3 linked regions of the Tamandua tetradactyla genome follow. The protein of the gene in region 3 interacts with the protein of the main gene of each other region in a pairwise test. Links are inferred from orthologs where the notes say so. Each region holds a gene or a part of one and is shown on either strand. Other genes may lie near its edges.

Region 1 (7,525 bases), on a different chromosome or scaffold from region 3:
AACCATTTTTAATTTTACTTATTAACAGTACAATTATAGCTTTACCAATATATATATATATATAATCCACAAACCATAAAATTTACCCCCTTAAAGTATACAATTCAGTGGTTTTTAGTATATTCAGAGTTGTACAATCACTGCGACTGTCTGATTCAGATGTGATCACCACATAAAGAAGCACTATACCCATCAGCAGTCACTCCCCATTTTTCCTACCTGCAGCCCCTGGTAACCACTTACCTACTTTCTATAGATTTCACAATTCTGGGCATTTCATATAAATGGAATCACACAATATGTGGTCTTTTGTGTCTGACTGCTTTCATTTAAGATAATGTTGCTTTTAAATTGAAGAGTTCTGTCTTCCTGTTCAAGATGCATAGATTTTAAATGTCTTGAAAATCATGATGGCTTTATACTCTCATTAATAAATATTCAAGGCACAATATAAACCTAAGACAACTTCACCATTAACAATAATAAATAAAAATCCATATTTAAATGGTTTTCATGATAATTTCTAATTTTCAAGACTTCCCATGCTGAGGTGTCAGCTCCATCATTTTCTTACTCTTTTCTTTCATGTATGTGATTAATACTATATTCAATATGAAATTTGAAGGACTGGTTTAGTTAATCTAGATACCACCATCTGTAAATCCATTTAGCTAGGCATTAGGAAAAATTACATCATCATGATATACAGTTAACGAATGACTGTACTTATATGTTCTTTTGCATGTAAAAAATATTACATTTAAACAAATAAAAAAGGAAATAAATACAAATAAAAGAATGTCGACTTTTTCTCTATGTATAGACTGCTTAGAACAGCACCTAACAGGACAACAAATCTTCAGAAAATGGTAACCATTATTGCTGCAAGTACTCTTCTTACACATTTTGTTTGTTTTGTTTTGTTTTGCTACAGGGAACATTTACCTAGCAAAAAGAATGTGTAAATAAATGGTCACCTTGCCTACAAAGGTTTCTTCATTTTTTCACTGATAAACTACTGAAGAAGGCACATGGATCGCCCTCCTTTGGCCATAGATTTCCTTGGCAATAGTATTTGTCAGTTCTCAGTGATTCTTTTTGTTAAAGCTGCCAAATAAAACAATATTTCAATAATAACATGTTTCTTAAGAACATATATATGTTAATATACAATTTAGAATAAAGTATCAGAATATGTGGAAATTTCAAATTCAGTGGATCATCCCCTATGCTTTCAGGAAATTTCTATTAGGTGCTACATTTCTGTGTGAGGGTTATAGTTCATTTAGGGACAACAGCCAAGGGTCAACCATTGGTGCAATTCTCAGCTATTTGTCAATTATGCTTCCCAAGCTGATTTGATGTTCTTTGAAGAGAAGAATTTTTTTCCCATTGATTCTGGATATCTCTGTAATGCTTTCAGAAACCAATGCACCATTAAACAGCACAGGTATGAAACAAACATTTACTGAGCAGACTTGTCATTACAGGTGCTTTAAATTCCTGCAAGACCAAAATTCTTGCCACACTCTCTACAGTACACTTTAGTTGCCACACTTCCTACAGTATAGAACTTCAGGGCTTCAATCTCTTCAATAATCCTTATGTTGTTAAAGTTCCCAAATTGTTTTTGGACAAAACTTGGGCCCTGCCTGAGGTTCTCCCTCAGTCCACTACTGTCCAAAAGATTAACATTATTCACCACAGTATGCAATTACGTGTTTATTTGCATGATTATTTGGTCAACACATATGTCACCAAGGTAACTCCATGATGACAGGGACAATGCTGTTTTTTCTTTCTGTTGTATCCCTAAAACCTTGCATAGAGCCTGGTATGTGTTCGGTGCTCAAAAAATATTTGTTGATGAATAAATGGTTTTCTATTTAGGCATGTAACCTTGTTAAGCTTTTCATCTATATGACCATGCTAAGTCTTCCTCAAAAAAGCAAGTCAGCCTGCACTTAACCAGTCACAGTCTACTTAAACCCACCGACGCTTAATACTTCTCAGAAGCTAAGAGAAATAACATTCATTCATTTATGCAATACATATTTGAACTCCTACTATGCATCAAGCACTGTTCTAAGTACAGTGAACAAAGCAAAATCTCTGCTCTCAGAGAACTTGCATTCTCTGAGGGAAGGGGATGCACGATAAACAAGAAAATAAGTACTACAGAAAAATAGGTTCAGGGGGCCAGGGAATGCAGGGATGCAGGGCATGACTACTATATGCTATGTCATAGAAGGTGTCTTTGTCAGGGTTCTGTAGGGAAACAGAACCAAAAGGACGTATCTGTTGAGATATATACTATGAGATTTTTATAAAAATTGTCTTATACAACTGTGGGGATGCATAAGTCCAAATTCCAAAGGGCAGGTCACAAGCCAGGAAATCTGGGGAAGGTTTTTGATGAATTCTCTGGGGGAACCTTGGAATTCTACTCGGCTGGCTGAAGTGGAGATAGAAATTCTTCTGACTGCTGAAGTCATCACGTCATCTTTTAAAGTCTTGAACTGATTGGATGATATATCTCTCAGTGTGAAGGCCATCTCCTCAGTTGACTGTAGATGTCATCAGCCATAGATGCAATCAATTTACTGATGATTTACGTCCACAAAACGGCCTCACAGGAACCATCAGGATGGTGCTTGCTTAACCAAATAGCCGGACACCACCCTCTGGCCAAGCTGACACATGAACCAACCATCACGGAGGGCAAATAGGAAAGGCCTCTTTTTTAGGATGACATTTGAGCAGGCAGAAGAACAAACCAAGGAGAAGAGCAAGTGTGAAGCCTCTGCCTGGCAAGATGGGTAATTTATTCAATCTTCTGCCAGGTTTTATCACCTGGGGGTAATATCATCCCCAAGAAACATTTGGAAAAACGAGGGGATAGTTATTTGGGGTTTTGACAATGACATGGGGGAAAGGGAGAATGCTAATCTGGAGTGCCCAGGAGAAGGTCAAACAACAAAGAATTAATTCTGCCCATAATTCCCCTTAAAATATTTGCCAAGGATATTTCATTACAGAAACTTTTTGTACGTTTACAAATTGCTCTCATTATATTACCAAATGACCATCAATAGAAGATTGCATAAGTAATTTATGATACAGTCATGCAACAGAACTGTACTGTAGGCAAATTTCGTTTACCCTAATCAAACCACATACTTTAAGTCCCACTATTTTCTTCATAATATTTCACATATGATATAGACTAGGTCTCAGTTCAAGAATGCAAATGACACTAATCCCATCGTTAACTTCTCTGCCTCATACTGCATACAAACACCGTGGATGGGAATTGACGTACCTTGACCACCAAATCGATCAGGACCCTAACCTCCCATTCAAATATGGGAACACTCCCCATTCTCCACTTTCTCTGACTGGCAATTATCTCGTGTTTTAATTTCAGCTCCAAGAAGCTTTTCCTAACTTTTCCAGCGGCTCACTCCTCAGTACTGCCATAGAACAATGATTCTGTTTCCACAAGGATGCCTACTAGACGTATATGGAAGCTTTTTCTTTAGGGCTTGTCTTGTAAACTTAACTATGCGCTCTTCCAGGGCAGTAACTAGGCCTACCCATCTCTGCATCCCCAGCGCCTAGCACAGCACCCGTGCACAGCAAGAACTCAACAAATGATTGCAGAACGGATGCGAAAAGGAGAGCTCTCCAAGCCAAGAAAATAATATGTTAAATTTCATATTTTGCTTCTAAAACCCTAAGACCCTCGTAAACGCCTGCACGAGTTGGGTCGGGGGCAGAAGGCCCCGCGGCGAGGGCAATGGAGGAACTCTCCACCCAAGCTCTTGGTTTTCCAATCCATGCTATGAGTGTTCAGTACGGCTTTCGACGCCTCGTCCCGAGACAGGGGGACGACGACACTCCCTGTGGCCTCTTCCATCCCGAACACCTCAGAGCCCTCCTAGTGGGAGAGGGCTCGCTTCCGGGAGCCCAGAGGCCCCAGGTGAGGCGCTCACCTTCCCGTTCGTGGGAGGCTCCTGGATGTAGATGTTGCTCATCCTTGTCGGTGCTCAGGGCTCTACTTCGAAGTCCGCAAAACTCCGGTCAACGAACGCTACCGCGGAGGAGTTCACGCTCCCTGGAGGAGGCGGTCGCGGAGAGCTCCAGTAAGCCGAGGCCCTGAAAGACAGCGACGCCGCGCCCTGGGCCCGCCAACCTAGCCGCTCACGCATGCCGCCATGTTGCTCCCGGACCCGAACACCGCTAACCCCGATAAGGGGGATTCCGATATCCTCCAGGGAAGGAGAAAAGAGTCTTCAGCGTCTATAGCGTAAAGTTATTCGTATTTAAAAAGTTAAAGAACCATCTTGAGTCTTCGTGGTGTTCACTTTCGCCACACACCTGTGTCGGTCACACACACGCACCCCTCAGGAGTTGGCTGTAATGGTTCAGGCCAAATGTTCGCTGCACCGTGACTCGCCCGGAAACCACAGCGGCGACGCCTTGGTTCCGCCGTCGCCAGGGGCTTAGCGGCCCTTCCGGGCCTCTCGCGGAGCTTCGGCGGCGCTGCGGCGAGGGCGAGGCCGCTTCGGCCGGGCGTTGTCCCCGCGCCGGCGGGACGCGCGCACCCTTGACCCCCTGTTGCCAGCACCATGGCAATCCCAGGTGAGGACGGCCTGCCGGGCTCGGACGGGAGCGGGAGCGGGGAGGGGGCGGTTGGGATGGGAGAGGACGATGCCGGGCGCCTTCGGGCGGAGGCGCCGCGCCGCCGCTGGGTTGCGGGGCTCGGGGGCAGCAAGTGCCGGCTCCCAGCCCCACGCTGAGAGCGGGCGGAAGCCGTCTCCCCGCCGCGGACAGGCGTCTTCCCCGCAGAAACGCTGGGGGGGAAAGGAGGAGGAAGGGCAGCCCGTGGAGGCCCGAAGGGGTGGCAGGCCTCGGCCGTCGCTTCGGGGTGGCTTAGAGATGCCATTCGAATGGGCGCGCGTGGCGACCCCGCGGGTCCCGGGCGTGGTGGCGGGCGTGGGGTCGGGCCCTGCGGGCGCCCGGGGCTCCCCCTCCAGCGCTTCCGCTTGCCTGTGGCCGCAGACCGTTCCCTTTGCTCTTCTGGGCCTCGTTGGGTCAGAGGAGGCGCTTGGGTGAATCCTGTCGGTTTCTTCCCCGTGTCAGGTTCTGTGTGTAAAGGGTGCTCATTGCCACCCGTGAACCCTGCAGTCCGAGTGCTTCGGAGCCTTCCCCGCCCACAGCTGCTGTCTGCCTTAGACGTCCAGCGGGGGTGAGCATCTCCTGAGACTGGCCTGTGCCACAGCGTTCAGTGCAGGAGATGTATGCAGAAATACACGCCCTCTGCCCCCCGCTTGGAGGTTAACAATGCACTTGAGCATAGGATTCTGAGAAGTGCTGTGGTTCAGAAGCGTTTGTCCTGTGGCAGCCTTGTCCTGAAGTGTGTTCTGCGGACAGCTGTTACGGTACAGCTGTGCTTTTCTGCTGGCTTGCGGCTTTGAGAGGAACACATACTGAGCTGTGAGAGAGGAAAAATGCACACATTCATACACTGACAGCTTTACTGCCTGTCAGGTGTCAGGCACTGTGGTGGGCATTGGGGATAAAACGGTGTTTTAGTTTGCTAATACTGCCAGAATGCAATACACCAAAAATGGATTGGTTTTTATAAAGGGGATTTATTGAGTTACAAGTTTAGAGGTCTAAGGCCATTAAAAATTTACAAACTAAGGCATCCAAAGAAAGATACCCTGACTCAAGATAGGCCTGGAAGACCTCTGTCAGCTGGGAAAGCATATGCTTGGTGTCTGCTGGTCCTTTGGCTTCTGTTTTCAAACTGCTTCCCTGGGGCGTTTTCTTCCTGCATCTCCAGATGTCTCTGTCTGTGTCGGCTCTAAGCTTTTCCCAAAATGGCTCCCTCTTAAAAGGACCCCAGTAAGCCCAGTAAGACCTACCTTGAGTGGGCAGAGATGCATCTCCTTGGAAACAACTTAATCAAAAAGATCCCACCCAAACAATAGGTCTGCCCCCACAAGATTGAATTAGAAAGAAGAACATGGGTTTCCTGGGGTACAAAACCATTTCAGTGGTAAGCAAGAAAGACATGGACCCTTTTACACAAAACCTACAGTTTAACAGGGAGAGAAAAAATAGTACTAGAAAGTAAGACAAGTACAGAACCTTAGGGAGCATCTAGGAGTTGCACAGATGACTTTCCCAGAGGAGTCCAGAGAGTTGCTGAAGAGGGGGATGGAGGGAAACATGCAATCAAAGGGACTTTATGTAATGGACCAGTGAGAAGAAGGATGAAAGAGGTTCACTGGGCGCTATGGATGGAACTCTAAGGACAAATGGGAGAGAAGTGAGAAATGAGCTAGAAAGATAATAACAATAGCTATTATTTGCTGACCATTTACTATGTGTCAGATAGTGTTCCAGACACTGTGTCAAGTGGTTTGTTATTTTTTCTCATTTAACATTCACAACCGCACTATGAGATACATACTGTTATCCCGTTTTTACAGAGGATGAAATTGAGGGACAAAGAAGTCAAGTGATTTGCCTGTTGTGAGACAGCTGGATGGAGCTAGATCAGATTGGCTTCTTTAGACCCCATGCTCTTATCCATTTGCCATGCTATATTAACTTAAAAGGTGACTTCCAGCTCTTGAACAAATTTGTAAGCCATGACAAGGAGTTTAGACTTTATCCTAAGGGTGTTTGGAGATCATTTATGTGTTTTTAAACAGATTCATGATTTGAAGGGATCATTTTGGCTGCACAATAGAGGGGAGATAGTTTGAGGCATTCACCAGTTAGGAATAATTCTGGTGAATTGCAATGACTCCTCACTGAAGTATGGTGTCAATAGGAGTGGAGAGAAGCAGACAGATTGGAGATACGTTTTTGGAGGCAGCGTCACTAGGAAGTGTGATTTATCTAGAAATCACTGTTAGACATTTGGGCAGGGCCATTTACTGATGTAGGCAACATTGGAGAAGGAGCAGGTTTTAAGGGGGAGGATTATAACTTCAGTTTGGGGCGTGTTGATAATGGGAGTATCCAGCAGTCATTTAGTGATATAAATTTTAGGTTAGCAAAGAAGCTGAGGTAAGAGGCAATGATTTTGGTGTCATTCAGTGCCACCCAAATGTCTGTATTAAATAGGTGTTAAGGCCATGAGAGTAGAAGTCTGCTCAGGAGAAATGTGTAGAGTGTGAAAGGTAAGCCTGTGACTGAAGCCTGGGGAAGATCACTATTTAAGAGACCAGGAGAGAAAGAAAGGCTGCACAGCTGATTGCTCAGACATCTTCATAAGCCACATCAGCCCTGTTGATCCATGGGAAGACAGTTGTTAAAGATTGACACAGTTATATCTAAAGTTGGCTGATGTCACCACTGATTTCACTAGTTGAGCTGCATGCTGTTGGCACTCAGAAAGATACAATGTTACAGTCTGTGGCCACAGTTGTATCTAAAGTTGGCCTGATGTCACCATTGATTTCATGAACTGAACTACATGCTATTGGCACTCAGAAAGACACAA
Region 2 (7,764 bases), on a different chromosome or scaffold from region 3:
TCCAAAAACTGGGAACACGCTGTTTGGGTTATGTCAACCTCTACCATCAGATCTCTTTTTTTGAAAAGAGTTGTAACAATGCTCTTTTGAAATCAAGCTGGACAACCTCAGAACATTTTTTTTAAGACATCTATTTTAAAATTAGCATCTAGCTGCCTGAAAAATTTCTAGCTACACTTTTTTCCCCCCAGATGAAGCAGTTTACAGAGAGAAGGCCAATTAAATGTAAAAGAAAAAATCTCCCTGCTCCAGAGATATGAAAACTCCATTCTGGCCTTCCCAGAATCAGAGAATTTTGAAGAACCAGAAAAGAAACACTGCACGAAAGACAAGGCACCCCCAAAATGGGAAATCCTACCTGGGTCTCCATATTTGGAAAACTTACAGTAATTCAGTGTAGCTTTAGAATGAGGAACTTAAACAGGTGCCGAAATGTAGATCATTTTCATTGGCTGGTAGCTGGTAGCTCTTCCCTTTAACATCGAGTAGCTTACCGTACCATGCAATTCTAGGCCACCCTAGCAATGGACCCACTCATCTGGGTTATCAGGCACAGTTCTGAAATTTTTGCTCGAGGGGCCCTGACCGTTACAGAAATGTTAATGGAAGTAGATGATGAATGTATTACCTCAGAACCCCAGAACCCTGCACCACTTTCCTCCCTAAGGAACACAAAGGGGGGGTCTACTTCCTGAAACACTCAGCGGAGCTGGGGGAAAGTCCACTTTCCACAACCCATGTTAAGCGGGGTGAAGGAGACCCATCCTTTCCTGGGATTTCTTTCTCATGCTAGTTCCTCAGGAGCAAGGGAGGCAAAATTACTTTGTGCTTCTCAGTTACTGGTTCTTTTTCCCTTATGGAAAAGCTGAACAGTAGTCAAGAGAGAACATGATACTTAGTCCAACGCAATTGGAAGTATACAGCAAGCACTGCCCTGGAAGGCTCTTCTGTTACCTACTCAGAATTTAATGAGAAGAACCACTTCAGGCACTACACACACAGAGCTCAATAGAACTCATGAGTTAGTTATTCAATTACCACGAGTTTGCAGGTCCATCAGTTCACAAGCTTACTAATACTTAAAGCCGGCACAGGGTACTCAAGTTATACTCTCTGATGATAGGTCTCTGTCGCAGTGGAAACTCAGCGTCTGGTTCATGAAGGTTCTAGGCAAACAGGATCTAAATTACAGATGAGATTGGCCCTCTTGACATCCTTAGCAATAGATCAGAAGTCTGCCTGAAGCTCCTATGTGTATCCGTAGCACTGCGAACTATCAATGATTAAATGATAGGAAGTCATTTCTTCTTGATAGGAAGTCAAGTCTCAGTAGAGCGAGGCTTCCCATTCTACTTGAAAACGACTAGCTTTGAGGGTCAATCCACCAGGCAGGGCAGAATGCCCCCTTTTCTGCTACTTATTTTACTTCATGAGGCAACCTCCTAACACTTCTAAACCCTAAACATTCATGCACCATCATCAAATTTTCTCCCAGGATATGGAAGAAGCGCTGCTTCTAAACCATCAAAACATGAATTTAGGAACCAGCTCGAATCTCCAAAAGATCAAGGATGAGGCAGGACCATCAAAGAAATGAAAGTCCCATTCCAAAAATTCAAAGTCAAAGGCTAAAAAGGAGACCATTTTTCGTGGGAAAATAAATTTTTATTATTAAACTTTAACTTTTATGGGAACAAATACTTTTCCTAGAAAACTTTCTAAACATGAGGCATACAAATCAAAATTTTGGAAGATGGTGGGATTTTTCTCTGATGCACTGCACCCAAGTAGTTCATTTTCTCTCTCTCATTTTCTTCAGAATTAAAAAAGCCTGCCTGCCCTTCTTTTCCCAGAATCCCAGAAGGAGACTGGGTCACCGAAGTCCAGCTGACCTCACTGTCCACGACCCATTTTACAAATATTCCACAGTATCTGAAATAGGAATGGCTGGCTCTGAAGGGCTGGGGGACCCAAGTCCACCGATAGGTGCCTGTCTCTCTAGCATCTAGCACCCAACCGCCAGTGGCCGCATTTTTACTTCTGTTTGATAAGCTGATAATTCAGAATATATCCTCAAACACGTTTTAAAACCCCCCAGCTGAGGCTCTGCACAATTCTGCCGCTCCTGACACATCCCTAGCACAGATATGAGCTTTTATGGCCCAAAGTAGCCAAACTGGGCAGGGATGAGTCACTTAACAGTTTAGGGTGTGCAGACTTTGCAAAAGCGACGCATGCTCCGGACGCCTGGGGGTGGGGTGGGGAGGGCAGCACCCTTTTCCGTGGAATCCACATTCAGAAAGCTGGCCGCAACCCCTGTCTCGGGACTGTTGGGCCTGTTAGAACTCTTTCCTGCCCTCACCAAGATCTCCTTGTAGAGATAAAAGTGGCCCGGGCAGCGGGATCACAGGTCCCAAAAGCCGCCCTACGCCTGGTTTCTAATACCGGAAGAGAGGGGGCTGCTTGGTCGGATGCGGGGGTCCCGCCGCAGCACGCTTGCTTGCATTTGCACCAAGCCGTTTCGGAAGTGGCCCAACTCGGGTTCCGAGAGACTCCACGTCCATAAACCACAGACGGCGGAGGCAGCGGGAGGGTGGGGCCCGGGTGCGGCCGGGGTGCGTCCTCCGAGCGCCCAGAAAGCGGCCGGCGCCCGGCTCGCCCAGCGGCCGCCGCCTCGCCCGCTCGCCCTGAGCGCGAAGTTCCGTCGGTCGTGGCTACCTGGGCCCGGTCTCGGGCCCCGTCTCGGGCCCCTCGAACGTCCGAGGCTCCGCGCCCCGCCCCGGGACGGCGCCCGCAGAGCGCAGCCAACCTCCCTCCCCGGCTTCGGCCGAGCCCTCCCGAGAACCGCCACGCCCCGAGCGGCGCCCGCGCCCCCGCGCTCCCTCCCGCGCGGCCCCGCCGCTCACCCTCGCCTCGGCCTCCGCTACGTGGCTCTCCCGCTCGCTCCCGGGGCGCTCCCGGCCCGACGGCGGCTCCGCGCCTCAAATACGCCCACCCCGCCCCGCCTCTCCCGGGGCGTGACGGCCGCAGGGTTCCCCACCCCCGCCCCGCCCCCGGGTGTCCGCCCCGCGCGCGCCGCTCCGGGGGGCGCTCGGCCGGGGACGACGGGCCAGAGGCTCCGCCCCCACGAAGGGCGACGCCCGCGGCCCGGGGTCCGTCCCCGGCGGTCCCGGGATACTGGGCGTGGCCGCATGGCCCGCGCGCTCGTCGGACTCCGCCGCGGACGCCGACGGCCCGCGGGGAAAGTTTGCGAAGTTTTGGGCGTTTGGGTCGCTGGGGGATTTTGCGTGCGGCCCGCTTGCTTGTTTTACCTTGTTCGGTTATTTCCTGCCCGAATCCCAGGCAGTCGCATCCCGCCCTCATTTTGCTTTACCTTTAACTCTCTCTCAGCATCAAAGTCGTCCCAAGAATTGCACCCTGGAAAAAAAGAAAGGCATTTTAGCAAACAAAAACCACAAACCTCTTCCATAAAGTTATCCTGACTTTGCATCCTATACGCTTGATTTTTTTTTTTTTTTTTTTTGAGGAAGTAGTTTCCGAGTTCGTACTTGATATTCTGAGCTCCTGATTCAAATATGTCCTGAGTCTGTGTGAAGCTGACGTGGGTTATACGAGTAAATGGGTAAGAAATGTGGAATTTCGTAAAAATTTCTTAAGTAATTATGTTTTATATACAAATAAACGGATTTCCTGTACGTAAAATATCACACTGATTTGAGTGTGACCAGGAGGTTCTGTCAGAAAGTTTTCTGAGCCGCTGAGGGAGACGTGTCCACATTCTTCCCCTTTGAAGGTGTTCATTCGCCTTCCTGGCCTGGGTCCAGCAAACCTGTGATGTGGGGACACGCGGGGTCGTTCTGCTCTTTGTAAGCCCTGTATCCTCAGCGTCTGCCCCTAGGTTTCGCACGTAGTAGGATCCCGGTGAATATTTGTTTAATGAATGAAGAAAAGAAATAAAGAATGAATGACATCTTAGGAAGTCAGAATGTCTGTTTTCTCACAGATTGGAGAATGGGACAATGAGCAAATGCAAAAATTACCTTTGGTTACGGTGGGAAAGGACAAAATTACAAATGTAGGAAAGGTTGCTACAGCAAATAATGGTACTTGCTGAAGGGAGGTGATATTTGGTTGCAAACACTTCACTGGGTAATAACTGAGTAAAATGGTTAGGTATGTCCAAGGTTTGTCTGTTTGTTTTAATTCAGATAATAATTAAAACAACTATATTAATTGAGCAGTTATGTCTCTTGAACTATGTGCAGTACTTTACATACCTATATGAGATGGGTGTTATTTTTGTCCCCATTTTACAGGTGAGAAAACAGAGGCACAGAAAAGTAGATATGACCGTGATCATAACATCGATCAAGTTGAAAGTGTGTCAGGGTCTAAGAAATAAGGTGTTGAATATTCACTGCTCAACCAGCTGAAGCAAAAACAAACAAAATGCCATCACCACCAGGCCACAGAAAGTTGTAGATTTAAAAGGAGCTTGGAAGGGTCATTCAGAAATGTAAAGAATGGCTGCCCACAAGGTAAAATGATCTCTGAGGGAATGAAGAAGAATTACTCTTTCTACCCCTTTATCTCTAGTGCTTTCTGTGTGATATTTCAGTTCAGTAGTAGAGTCTCCTCTCTGAAACTGGGATCCTGTGTCTGGTTGATAGCATGTGTGAGAGAGCCTCCGTACTGCTTGAGTGGATACACCTGGGAGTTTTTAGATTTGGGGCTAGAGGAAAGGATTTTGGTACTAGAGAATGGAGTCAAGTCTAGAGAAGGAATGTCTGCACCCGCTCTCAGCCTAGCCTCTTTTGCTCGTTTGGTTGGAGCCCCAGGCAGTGGGAGTAGGCCAGAAGTTGATGGATCTGGAAAGCTTTGAGAGACGCCCGCATCAAGGCCCAGGTGACAGAGTACAGTCCCCCGAAGGGAGGCTAACTCCCACCCCAGGGCAGTGCTGTCACTGCAGACTTCCAGAGACAGCCCCATGGGATAGGCATTAGCATTCTCCCACGGGGCGGGGAGAGCAGACACAGGCAGATGCTGCAGCAGGCTGGAGCTGCCCGGCTGACGGGTCCTCAGGAGAGGGGGCCTGCTGAGGAAGAACAGCCCTGCTCTTAGAAGAACCGAAGTGTTATGGGAAGCCCGTAACCTCAAGCAGGACAAATGAGACCTGGCTGGAACTGGCCCACTGGTGTTTGTGATCGAATTTTGTGACACAATACACGTGGTCTATGTTTTGGGCACTCAGTAAATAAAAAATCGAAAATGGGAACGTGATAGTGATATAATCTCACTGAAACAATGTGATTGAGGGATAGAGATTAATGAAGAGCCTGAATTACATTTTATAAAAAATAGCAGTAGCTTGCTACTCTAAAAAAGAGGGTAAATGATTGTTTGCAAAATGGATGATTGACAATGGGCTGCAACTATGAAGTTGGATTATATTAGGCAATGTGAGTGGCCTCATGATACTGGCTACCTGGGACCTTATAATGTCAGGGGACAAAGAATAAGGTCATATATAAAGCTGTATTGCTACTAAGGAAAAATTAAAGAAGTGAGCATTTTAATTTGGAATTTCACTCTGACCTTTCTTCCTCTTACCTCCCACTTGCTCAGCCCACCCCAGCCACTCCTGCCCCCAAAAGCTGTTCCTGTGGCACTCCTGACTTTGCATCCTTGCCCTGGCTGTTCCCTATAGCTGGAATACTCTCCTCCTGTCATCTACTCACTCTGTCACCTACTTTAAGCCTTTACTCAAATGTCACCTTCTCCATGAGGTGTCCTCTTGCCCCCCCTATGTAGAATCAAATCCACCACCTCCCACTGCCAACCCCTCTTACCCCCTCTAATTTTTCTTTCTTTCCACAGCCCTTATCAGCTCTAGAATTTACTTATTTACTATGTGTGTTTGTTATCCTTGATTTCTCCCTGCTTTTCCTTCCTGCACCCCTCCCTGAGGGCACAGTACTTTGTTACATTGTTCACTGATGTTCCCAAGTGCCACTCAACAAATATTTGCTAAGTGAACAAGTTTGTGAGCACTGGAGAAAAATCCAGTGGACTGTTTGATGTTATTGTGTTTTTTTTTTCCTTTTTTTTTTGCTTCAGTTGTGCCCACTGCTTGTGAGAATATCAAGAATTCTCCACTTGGGGAAGTTGAATTTTCCCCCTTTCTCACCATTCCCCCAAGGGGACTTTGCAAATACTTTTTTATTCACTGTTCAAATCACTCGGGTTTATCAGGACATCACTCTGGACGAACCTACAAAATCTCATGCCCTACTCAAGTTTCCATGTGCTTGTAGCATTCAGTTAAACTGTCCACAAAAGTCATATTAGGAGATGCACTAGTCAAAATATAAATTTCATACCAAATAAACATTTTTTGCTTTAGTCTCACACATAAGTTAAAGTTTTAAAATATTAATTACCATCTATTTTCAACACCCTGAAATATTGACGTTCCTTTGTTCTTCCTCATGCAGAAACATTTTTAAATTCGTACGTTTAGTCACTATCGTTATACACTCTAGGCACCCCTAGATTATACCATCTCAGTCTTTATCGTCTGTCTTTCCTTCTGATTTCGTTTGTGCCCCCAGCCCTCCTCCCTCTATCATTCTCACATTCAGCTTCATTCAGTGTTCTAACATTGTATTACAGTTAGGTAGTATTGTGCTGTCCATTTCTGAATTTTTACAATCAGTCCCATTGCACAATCTGTATCCCTTTGGTTCCAATTACCCCAAATCTACCCTATTTCTATCTCCTGATGGTCTCTGTTCTTAACTGAAATTCTCTAAGTTCATTCACTGATGTTCGTTCATATCAGTGAGACTATACAGTATTTGTCCTTTTGTTTCTGGCTAATCTCACTCAGCATAATGTCCTCAAGATCCATACCTCATAGCTTTATTCTGTCTTACAGCTGCATAATATTCCATCGTATGTATATACCCGCAGCTCGTTTAGCCACTCGTCTGTTAATGGACATTTGGGCTGTTTCCATCTCTTGGCAATTGTAAATAACGCTGCTATAAACATTGGTGTACAAATGTCCATTTGTGTCCTTGCTCTCATGTCCTCTGAGTAGATATCTAGCAATGGTATTGCCAGATCATATGGCAATTCTATACTTAGCTTCCTGAGGAACCGCCAAACTGCCTTCCACAGTGGTTGTACCACTTGACATTCCCACCAACAGTGGGTAAGATTTTATCGTTTTCAACCCCTTTCCTCTGATGCCCCTTAAGATGATAAAAAACTAAAAGAGTAAAGAATTCAATTCATAGAACTGACTAAAAATTGACTGCTTTTTTTTTTTTTGGATAAATAGAACTAGTCTCAAAGCAACTCCATTATCAGCCAACTTCTTAATATATCTTGCATAGTAAATTCAAATTATTCTATGTATACTTTTCTTTTAACGTCATCTTTTCTTTTTGGTGGAGAAAATAAATCAGTGCTATTGTCTTGCCTTGACTGTCAGGGAAAATTATTTACTTTTCATCCATGTTCAGCATCAGAATTCAGAAGTCCCAACTTTTACAAATGATCTCAAAAAAACACACCAAAGAAATCTGCAGGGACTTGTCTATGTAAACCAAAGAGAAAACCAGGTTTTCGAAATTAGTCAAATAATAAAGTATGCAAAAGCAAATTCTTTCATCCAGTTTTCCTCTGTAAGAAGGAAATGTCCATGTGAAGGACACACTTGATGGAGCTGAGAAGGTTTCTTGTCATCCTCTCGGATAA
Region 3 (7,284 bases):
ACTTGAGGGAAGGGTCCAGACCCTGTATTCAGTCAGAGTCACTGCTGGAAGAGGAGGAGGAGGAATGCTGCAAGGGGAAACGGGAGAGGAGATAGCATCAGATCCAAATGACCTTTGACCATCCCAGTGGCCAACCTTTGGTGCCTCATCCCTCCACCCAGTGCCCCTTGCTTCCAGGAGTCTTGAACCAGACTTTCCCGTATACAGAAAAGGCAAGGGTTTCCTTCGACAGAGCGCAAACAGGGATGGATTAAACCATTCCAAATCATTGCAGAGAATTTAATGCATTACTTTTAAAGCAAGTTTCCACTTTCTTTACCTTGAGTTAATACCTAGGCAAGGAATAAATAATAAGCACAAGCTTAGTACAGTGCTAGGAAAGCGGCTGCTGCCTTACAAATACTTATTGATTAACTGTATGAAAAGTCCCTAGTGGCTACAAATTTAAGAAAACTGAGTAGAAACAGCAGTTGTGTGTGCATGCAGCTCTACTTTTCCCAAACCCAACTGGGAGAAAGTGAGGAAAGTGAGAGAACCACAACTGCCACCCCGGATTGCAGACAGTAAACTCCCCTCACCCAACCCCTACCTGCACAGTCCCTAGTGTTTTTCTGGAGCCTGACCAGGCATACCCTCCCTAGTCAGGCTCCAGAAAAAAATAGGGGAGCCTATTCAAGGGTTGTCACATACATAACTCCAAATCAACAATAAACCCATTTTTAAGTCACTGGGGTAATTTTCCCCCCATTTAATCTCACCTTTCTATCACCTCTGATTTCCACGAAAGACCCACAATCAGGAATTAGAGCCCACATCCACAGGGCAAATAAATACTAGGCCTTAAGATGTAAATTGAAGCCTCCAAGAGATCCAGATTGGTTTAATCCTCCTAGAGTTGAACTGTGAGCTGTTCTTGTAGAAGAAAGGATACTTAGCCCTTAAGGGATCAAACATGAAACTCTCTTAGCCTCAGGCTTTGTTTGAGGCTAAGAGTCACTCATTAGCTCAGGTCCTCAGTTTCCCTGATGGACAAAAAGGCTCGGGTAACTAACAAACAGGAGAAAACTGAAGGAGAGAAAGGAACTTCAGCAAGGAGGTCCAGATTTTTATTTCTGTTAAATATTATATAAGAATTTGCTTTGCGAAAGAATTGACCCTATTGACATTCTGACAACTTCAGTGGATATATCCAATTTGCCACAACATGCACGGGGGCAGAAAAGGGCAGCCAAAGTTCTGAGTGGCTTTTGAGCTGATATTCAACCTTAGCCTTGTACCTCCCAGATATGAGGCCTAATAAGCGTAAGAATTCTTCTCAAAAGTATCAGATTCCTTTCCAGTGGGAATCCTTCACAAAAAAGGAAGAATCATCTACCAGAGAACCACAACTGCCACCCCACGATCGCAGACAGTAAACTTCCCTCACCCAACCCCCACCTGCTCAGTTCCTCTGAGGGTGGCACACCCTCCCTAGTCAGGCTTCAGACAAACCCTCACCTTGCCATGCTTGTGCTGTTTGTGCATCTTTTTATGAGCTTTCTTCATCTTCTTACGCATCTTCTTGTCCATCACCATCCCAGGTCCTACCATGCCAGGAGCCAAGGGATTGACAGGAGGCATGCCAGGGGCAGCTGGTGGGTATGGAGGGGGATAGGGACCAGGAGGTGGGTAGGGGCCTGGGGGTTGGCATCCCGGATACCCTGGTTGAGGCACAGGATGAGGGAGTGCACCCGGGGGGAAAGCTGGATTTGCCTGGGGAACTCCAGGAGTGGGAAAGGGGCCCTGGGGAAAGGCAGGATTGACAGGTGGTGGGTGGACAGGATTGGAAGCTCCAGGGTTCCCGATGTTGGGGGGGTACGGATTTGGCCCTGGTTGTCCTGATGAAAGAAACAGAGAATAAAGATTAGAACTGCCCAGGGCCTCTTGCAACAACCAAAACACACACACACACACACACACACACACACACACACCAAAGGAACTCAGTTTCTCACCCACTACTTAAAGGGATATGGAATGATGAGGAAAGAGAATGGGGGTGGGGGGGGATGGGATAGACACACCTGAGTATAGGAGTAGGGGAGAGAAATAGGGAATGTCCTTGGAAGGGCTGGGGAGAGCAGAAGCTGGGAAGCTGTGAACTCTGGTTTCACTAGTCTAAGGACTTTGCTTTGCGGGAAGAGGAGCAGCAGGGAAAAATTAACATAGAAACTTCCTGTTAAGAGGGGGGATAGGAGAAGAGACTTCCAAACACCTACCTGCACTGGGATTCCACATGTCCAGGTGTTTCCCCCAGCCTGAGGAGAAAGAAATGAGGCTAAAAGCGGACGGCTCTGAGCTGGGAAGAGGATTCTGAGCCCCAGCCCAACCCTAACGCTTCCTGCCCGAGAGGGTTCTCTCACTTGCCTCCACTTAAGAAACGTTTCTTCCACTCGTTCCTTCGTCCTCAATGCCTATTTTATCCCTTGTTCCCTCCCTAATCACAGGAACCTAGTTCCCATTGCCCCTCCACCTTCCACTACCTCTGGCCACAGCTGGAGGTCTCAATCCCCCTCACAAGAGGGGCAGAGTCCACGAATCTCACTGTTCCCTCATCACCTTCCCTGTTAGTGAGTAGGGAGGACTTTAACCAAGGGCAAGGGAGGATCTCAAACAACTTTACTAACCCCGGGAAGGGGAAGGCAGGACCCCACCACTGGCTAAGAGAAGGACACCTCGATGCCGAGCGAGGAAGGGGGTTCAAAAAAAAATCCTCAAACGCTTAAATATCTGGACACACCCCCATCCCCATAAAAAAAGGGGGGATGGAGATCCTAGTTCCAAGCTGCGAAGAGACCCGCTGCCCCAGGAATGGAGAATGGAGGAAACTGGGGAATCCAGACGCTCCGTCACCTTTACAGCACCGCCTCGGCTTGATTAGTCCGTCGCAACCTTAGCTCCCACTTCCTGATCATCTTTATCTCATGCTTCAACACCCGCCTCTGCTACCGTCTAATTGGAAACTAAGTGGTCATTCGGCATTATGATTGGAAAATAGACTCGTCAATCTCCGTAATTCCGACTAGGAGGAAATGATTGCACCAGGGGCGGAGCTGGGCCATTTAAGGGCAAGACCAGTGCAAACGAGTTGGCAGGAAGGTAATCTCCTGGGGGTGGGGCTAGTTGAGACCGGCGAGAAGAAGGCCGGGCCAGGGCAAAGGAGCAGCGAGGCATAGAAGGAACGCCTTCCTGCCTTCGGTAGTGCGTGCAAAGCCGCGTAGTGTGAGAAGCGCCATGTTGGGTGTTGTGATGCAAAAGTACAAAGCGTTAGGGAAGAGCCGGCTGCCAAGTCCCAGCCTTAAGCCCTCAACATTGTCGGCTTCCTTCAGTCCCTAAGCAAAGAAACATCATCCTTGACACCTCTGTCTCCTTCACCTCTTCCAGCCATGGAACACCATGACTTGTCCATTTTGTCTCCCAAATGAACCTGGAATCCCTTTACTTCTCTCCAGCTTCCCTGTTCCCAACTTACTATCATCTCTCACATGAATTGCCCTAATAGCCTCTTTTCGTTTTTTGAACAACACAATTAACAAACCTGATTTCATGAACATATAGAACCATGCACTCCAAAATTCAAGAATAGTTACTCTTTTTAAACACTTCAAGAACTTTTATAAAAATTGGTCACGTTCTAAGCCAAACAAGTCTCAAATGATAATCATTCAAATTTCAAAGAATTGTAGAATACGTTCCATAGTCCAGACCACAATGTGAAATAAAAAATATAAACATACATCTGGAAATTTAAAACAACAACAAAGTCTTACAAATAACTCACGGGTCAAAGCGGAAACCATGATGGGAGTTAAATGCTTAGAACTAAACCATAATGAAAACAATATGTCCAAAATTTGCAAGATACAATATTTATCTCCTATGAAAGATAAATTTTACACTGAGTTTGTTATCTTAAACCAAAGCCTTTGGATTCAAAATGTTTCTTTTGAGTTAAGTTTAGACCCACAAGAAACTGCAAAAATAGTATATAAACTCCCATGTTAGGGTGCACGGGTGGTTCAGTGGTAGAATGCTCGCCTTCCATGCAGGAGACCTGGGTTTGATTCCTGGACCACGCACCCAAAAACAAAAACAAAAAACTCCCATGTTCCCTTTACCCAGCTTCCCCCAATGGTAATATCTTGCATACCAATAGTATATTTGATAGATTTTTCAGGGGGAGGGTTATGCTAAATATCAGAGATTAATTGGAATGTCTTCCACATTTTTTAAAGCTCTAGGGCAATTTATATGTAAGTGTATTATGACTTTCTTGGAAGATTGTTGAGTTTGAAAGAAATTATTGATATATCTATATAGGTATAGTGCCTTTCAGAATTTAAATGTTTACAATTATTTGTCTTGTTTAAGCTGCTTTATACAGCTATAATTCACACACCAAACAATTCACTTGTTTAAAGTGTACCATTCATGGGTATTTAGCATAGTCAAAGGGTTGTGCAACCATTGCCATTATCTAATTTTAGAACATTTTTGTCCCCCCTAAGAGAAATCTGATATCCATTAGCAGTCAATCTCCACCCCTTCTCCTATTCCCCTTCCCACCCATGTTGTAGCACGCATCAGAACTTTATTACTTTTTAGTCCCCCAAAATATTCCATCGTATGTATATATCACATTTTGTTTATCCATTCATCAGTTAATGGAAATACTGATTGTTTCCAGATTTGAACTATTATGAATATTGCTGCTGTGAACATTCGTGTACAAGTTTTTGTGTGAACATATATTTTCAATTCTCTTGAGAATATACCTAGGAGTAGAATTGTTGAGCCATATAGTACTCTTTCTTCCGAACTGCCAGACTGTCTTCCAAAGCAGCTGCACCATTCTACATGTGACCACTGTGTCAGGTTGGTCACTGGAGGGTTTATAGAGAAGCCATGAGAAAACCAAGAAGCTAGAAGTCAATGGAACCAGGAAGAGAAAGAAGACACTGCCATGTGCATTACAATGTTGGAGAGAAACCAAAATAATTGAAAGCCGAGACTCAAACAGGTATTTGCACAACAATGTTCACTGCAGCATTATTCACAATAACCAAAAGGTGGAAACAATTCAACTGCCCCATCAACAGGTCAATGGATAAACAAATGTACCTGTATCCATACAATGGAAGATTATTCAGTCATGAAAGAAAGTGAACTGCTGATATATAATACCATATGGATGAACCTTGAAGATATCATGTTAAGTAAAATAAGTCAGAAACAAAAGGACAAACACTATATGATATCACTGATATGAAATAATTAGAATAAGCAAACTCATAGAGACAGAAAGTAGAATAGTGGTTACCAGGGATTGGGGGAAGGTGAATGGAGATGCTTTGCTAAATGAGTATGAGTTATGGTTTCAGATGATGAAAATAATCTTGAAATAAACAGTGGAGAATTTGCACAGTATTATCGATGTACCTCATGCCAAAGAATTGTTGACAAAATGGTTAAAATGATATTTATGTTCTCTATATTTTACCACAACTAAATATGAATATTTTTTTTAAAAAAAAGATCATCTTCAATGTAAGAAATAAAACTCCTAGAAGAAAACATAAGGAAATTTTATCATGGCCTTTTATTAGACAATTGATTCTTAGACTCTACACTAGAGCACAAGCAACCAAAGAAAATATACATAAATCGGAAATCATATATCAAAACCTAGAATATATAAAGAACTCCTGAAACTCAACAGTAAAAAGATAACCCAGTGAAAAAATGGGCAAATGGGGAATGAGGGCTTGCAATTCTTTAATGGCTTAATGTGATGTCTGGATACATCCCAGAGCAGGTTGGACAGATAATTTAAAAGTATTGGCAAAGTCCCTTGAGGGACAGGAGAAAAAATATGGAACTATTAAGCTATACACTGGGGAAACCCCTGATATTATCTCAAATATTTGAGACTCCCAAGTCAATAGGCCAAGCCCTTGATCTTGAGGCTTGCTCTTGTCACTCTTATTTATGTAGCAGAGAAGCTAAGCCTACCTATAGTTATGCCTAATAGTTACTTCCAGAGGACCTCTTTTGTTGCTAAGATGTGGCCTCTCTCTTTCTAAGCCCAACTGTGCAAGTAAAATCATTACTTTTTCCCTACATGGGATGTTTTAGTCAGTAAGCTGCCAGAATGCGATAAAGCAGTAATAGAAAGGCTTTTAAAAAGGGGCAAATTAGCAGTAAGACAAAATGACATCCTGTGCACATGACAAGATGGATGAGTCTTGAGGACATAATGCTGAGTGAAACTAGCTATACACAAAAGGATAGATACTGTATGATTCCACTTTTATGACCAGCATAAAGATAAAATCAAAGGCTTATAATACAGAATATAGAAGACTTAGAGATACATAGAAGCTAGAGATGGGTGAATCATTAGCTAATGAGGTTGAACTCCAATGTAAGGGAATAGATAGGAGTGAAGGTGGTTCTCTAGTGGGTCTATAAGTAATATTACCATATTGATGAACAAGATCGAAAGGTATTGTATAGACCTGTGTGTCACACTGATTTACACTAGAAATATAAATCAGTTCTCGCAAGAATTATTTCAAAGATATGATTCTTGTACAAAGAGTGTTTAAGTCCAGGGTACAGGGGGTAAAGTGCTATTGCATGTTATGAGCCATTTTCAAAAGGAAACCATCAGCACTACCACAGCAACGGCAGAGGTAAATAAATGGGGAGAGTGACAAGAGTTAAGAGGAGGTTTAGATTTCCTATTTGGCAAGGGTGTGTTCATTGGTTTTCTTTCTCTTGGGAACAATGAAATTATCTAAAATTGAGAATATTTGATGGACAGTGGACTTGGGGACCTCTACATGATGCCCAATGAATGCAGGTGGTTGAAGGATGCACTGATGGAGAAGTAGATTGGCGAACGATGGTGTATACTTATGAACAAAGGTTGTGCTGCCACAAAAAAGAACAAAGTGAGGCATGCAACAATGTGGGACACTTGGTGAGACAAAATAAGCCAGAAACAAAAGAACAAAAATGGTGTGGTCACCTTTAGAAAATGTTCATAAGAAAGCAGGGGCCTAGATTGTAAGCTTTTAGAGCAGACACATTCAGTCTGGAGTGGTGATTACTATTTCTGGATTTTGAGAGGCTGTTTTATTTATATAACCTGATATTTAGAGATAAGAATGAAGCCAAACAGGTTCGGGTTGAAGTAATTCAGAACATAAGGGTAAGTAAGACTGTCTATATTTTAGAACC

What was found. The genes of interacting proteins can lie anywhere in the genome.
Region 1: the proteins of PRR13 (region 3) and SREK1IP1 interact in binary tests that used the Homo sapiens proteins (3 or more experiments, as listed by UniProt). The link is inferred for Tamandua tetradactyla from reciprocal best matches to the Homo sapiens genes PRR13 and SREK1IP1.
Region 2: the proteins of PRR13 (region 3) and LGALS3 interact in binary tests that used the Homo sapiens proteins (3 or more experiments, as listed by UniProt). The two-hybrid records come from large-scale screens. The link is inferred for Tamandua tetradactyla from reciprocal best matches to the Homo sapiens genes PRR13 and LGALS3.

The regions. Positions count from the first base shown.
Region 1 is NC_135335.1:112,330,748-112,338,272, reverse strand, and holds the start of SREK1IP1 (protein SREK1IP1), read left to right. Parts: upstream 1-4,519; 5' UTR 4,520-4,631; coding exon 4,632-4,644; intron 4,645-7,525. Other genes in the region: spliceosome-associated protein CWC27 homolog, read right to left, coding at 3,996-4,037. UniProt on the Homo sapiens protein: Possible splicing regulator involved in the control of cellular survival.
Region 2 is NC_135338.1:10,966,072-10,973,835, forward strand, and holds the start of LGALS3 (galectin-3), read right to left. Parts: upstream 3,007-7,764; 5' UTR 2,907-3,006; intron 1-2,906. UniProt on the Homo sapiens protein: Galactose-specific lectin which binds IgE. May mediate with the alpha-3, beta-1 integrin the stimulation by CSPG4 of endothelial cells migration.
Region 3 is NC_135333.1:114,895,046-114,902,329, reverse strand, and holds the start of PRR13 (proline-rich protein 13), read right to left. Parts: upstream 3,021-7,284; 5' UTR 2,893-3,020; intron 2,887-2,892; exon of another isoform or gene 2,667-2,886; intron 2,298-2,666; 5' UTR 2,278-2,297; coding exon 2,259-2,277; intron 1,878-2,258; coding exon 1,498-1,877; intron 68-1,497; coding exon 29-67; 3' UTR 1-28. UniProt on the Homo sapiens protein: Negatively regulates TSP1 expression at the level of transcription. This down-regulation was shown to reduce taxane-induced apoptosis.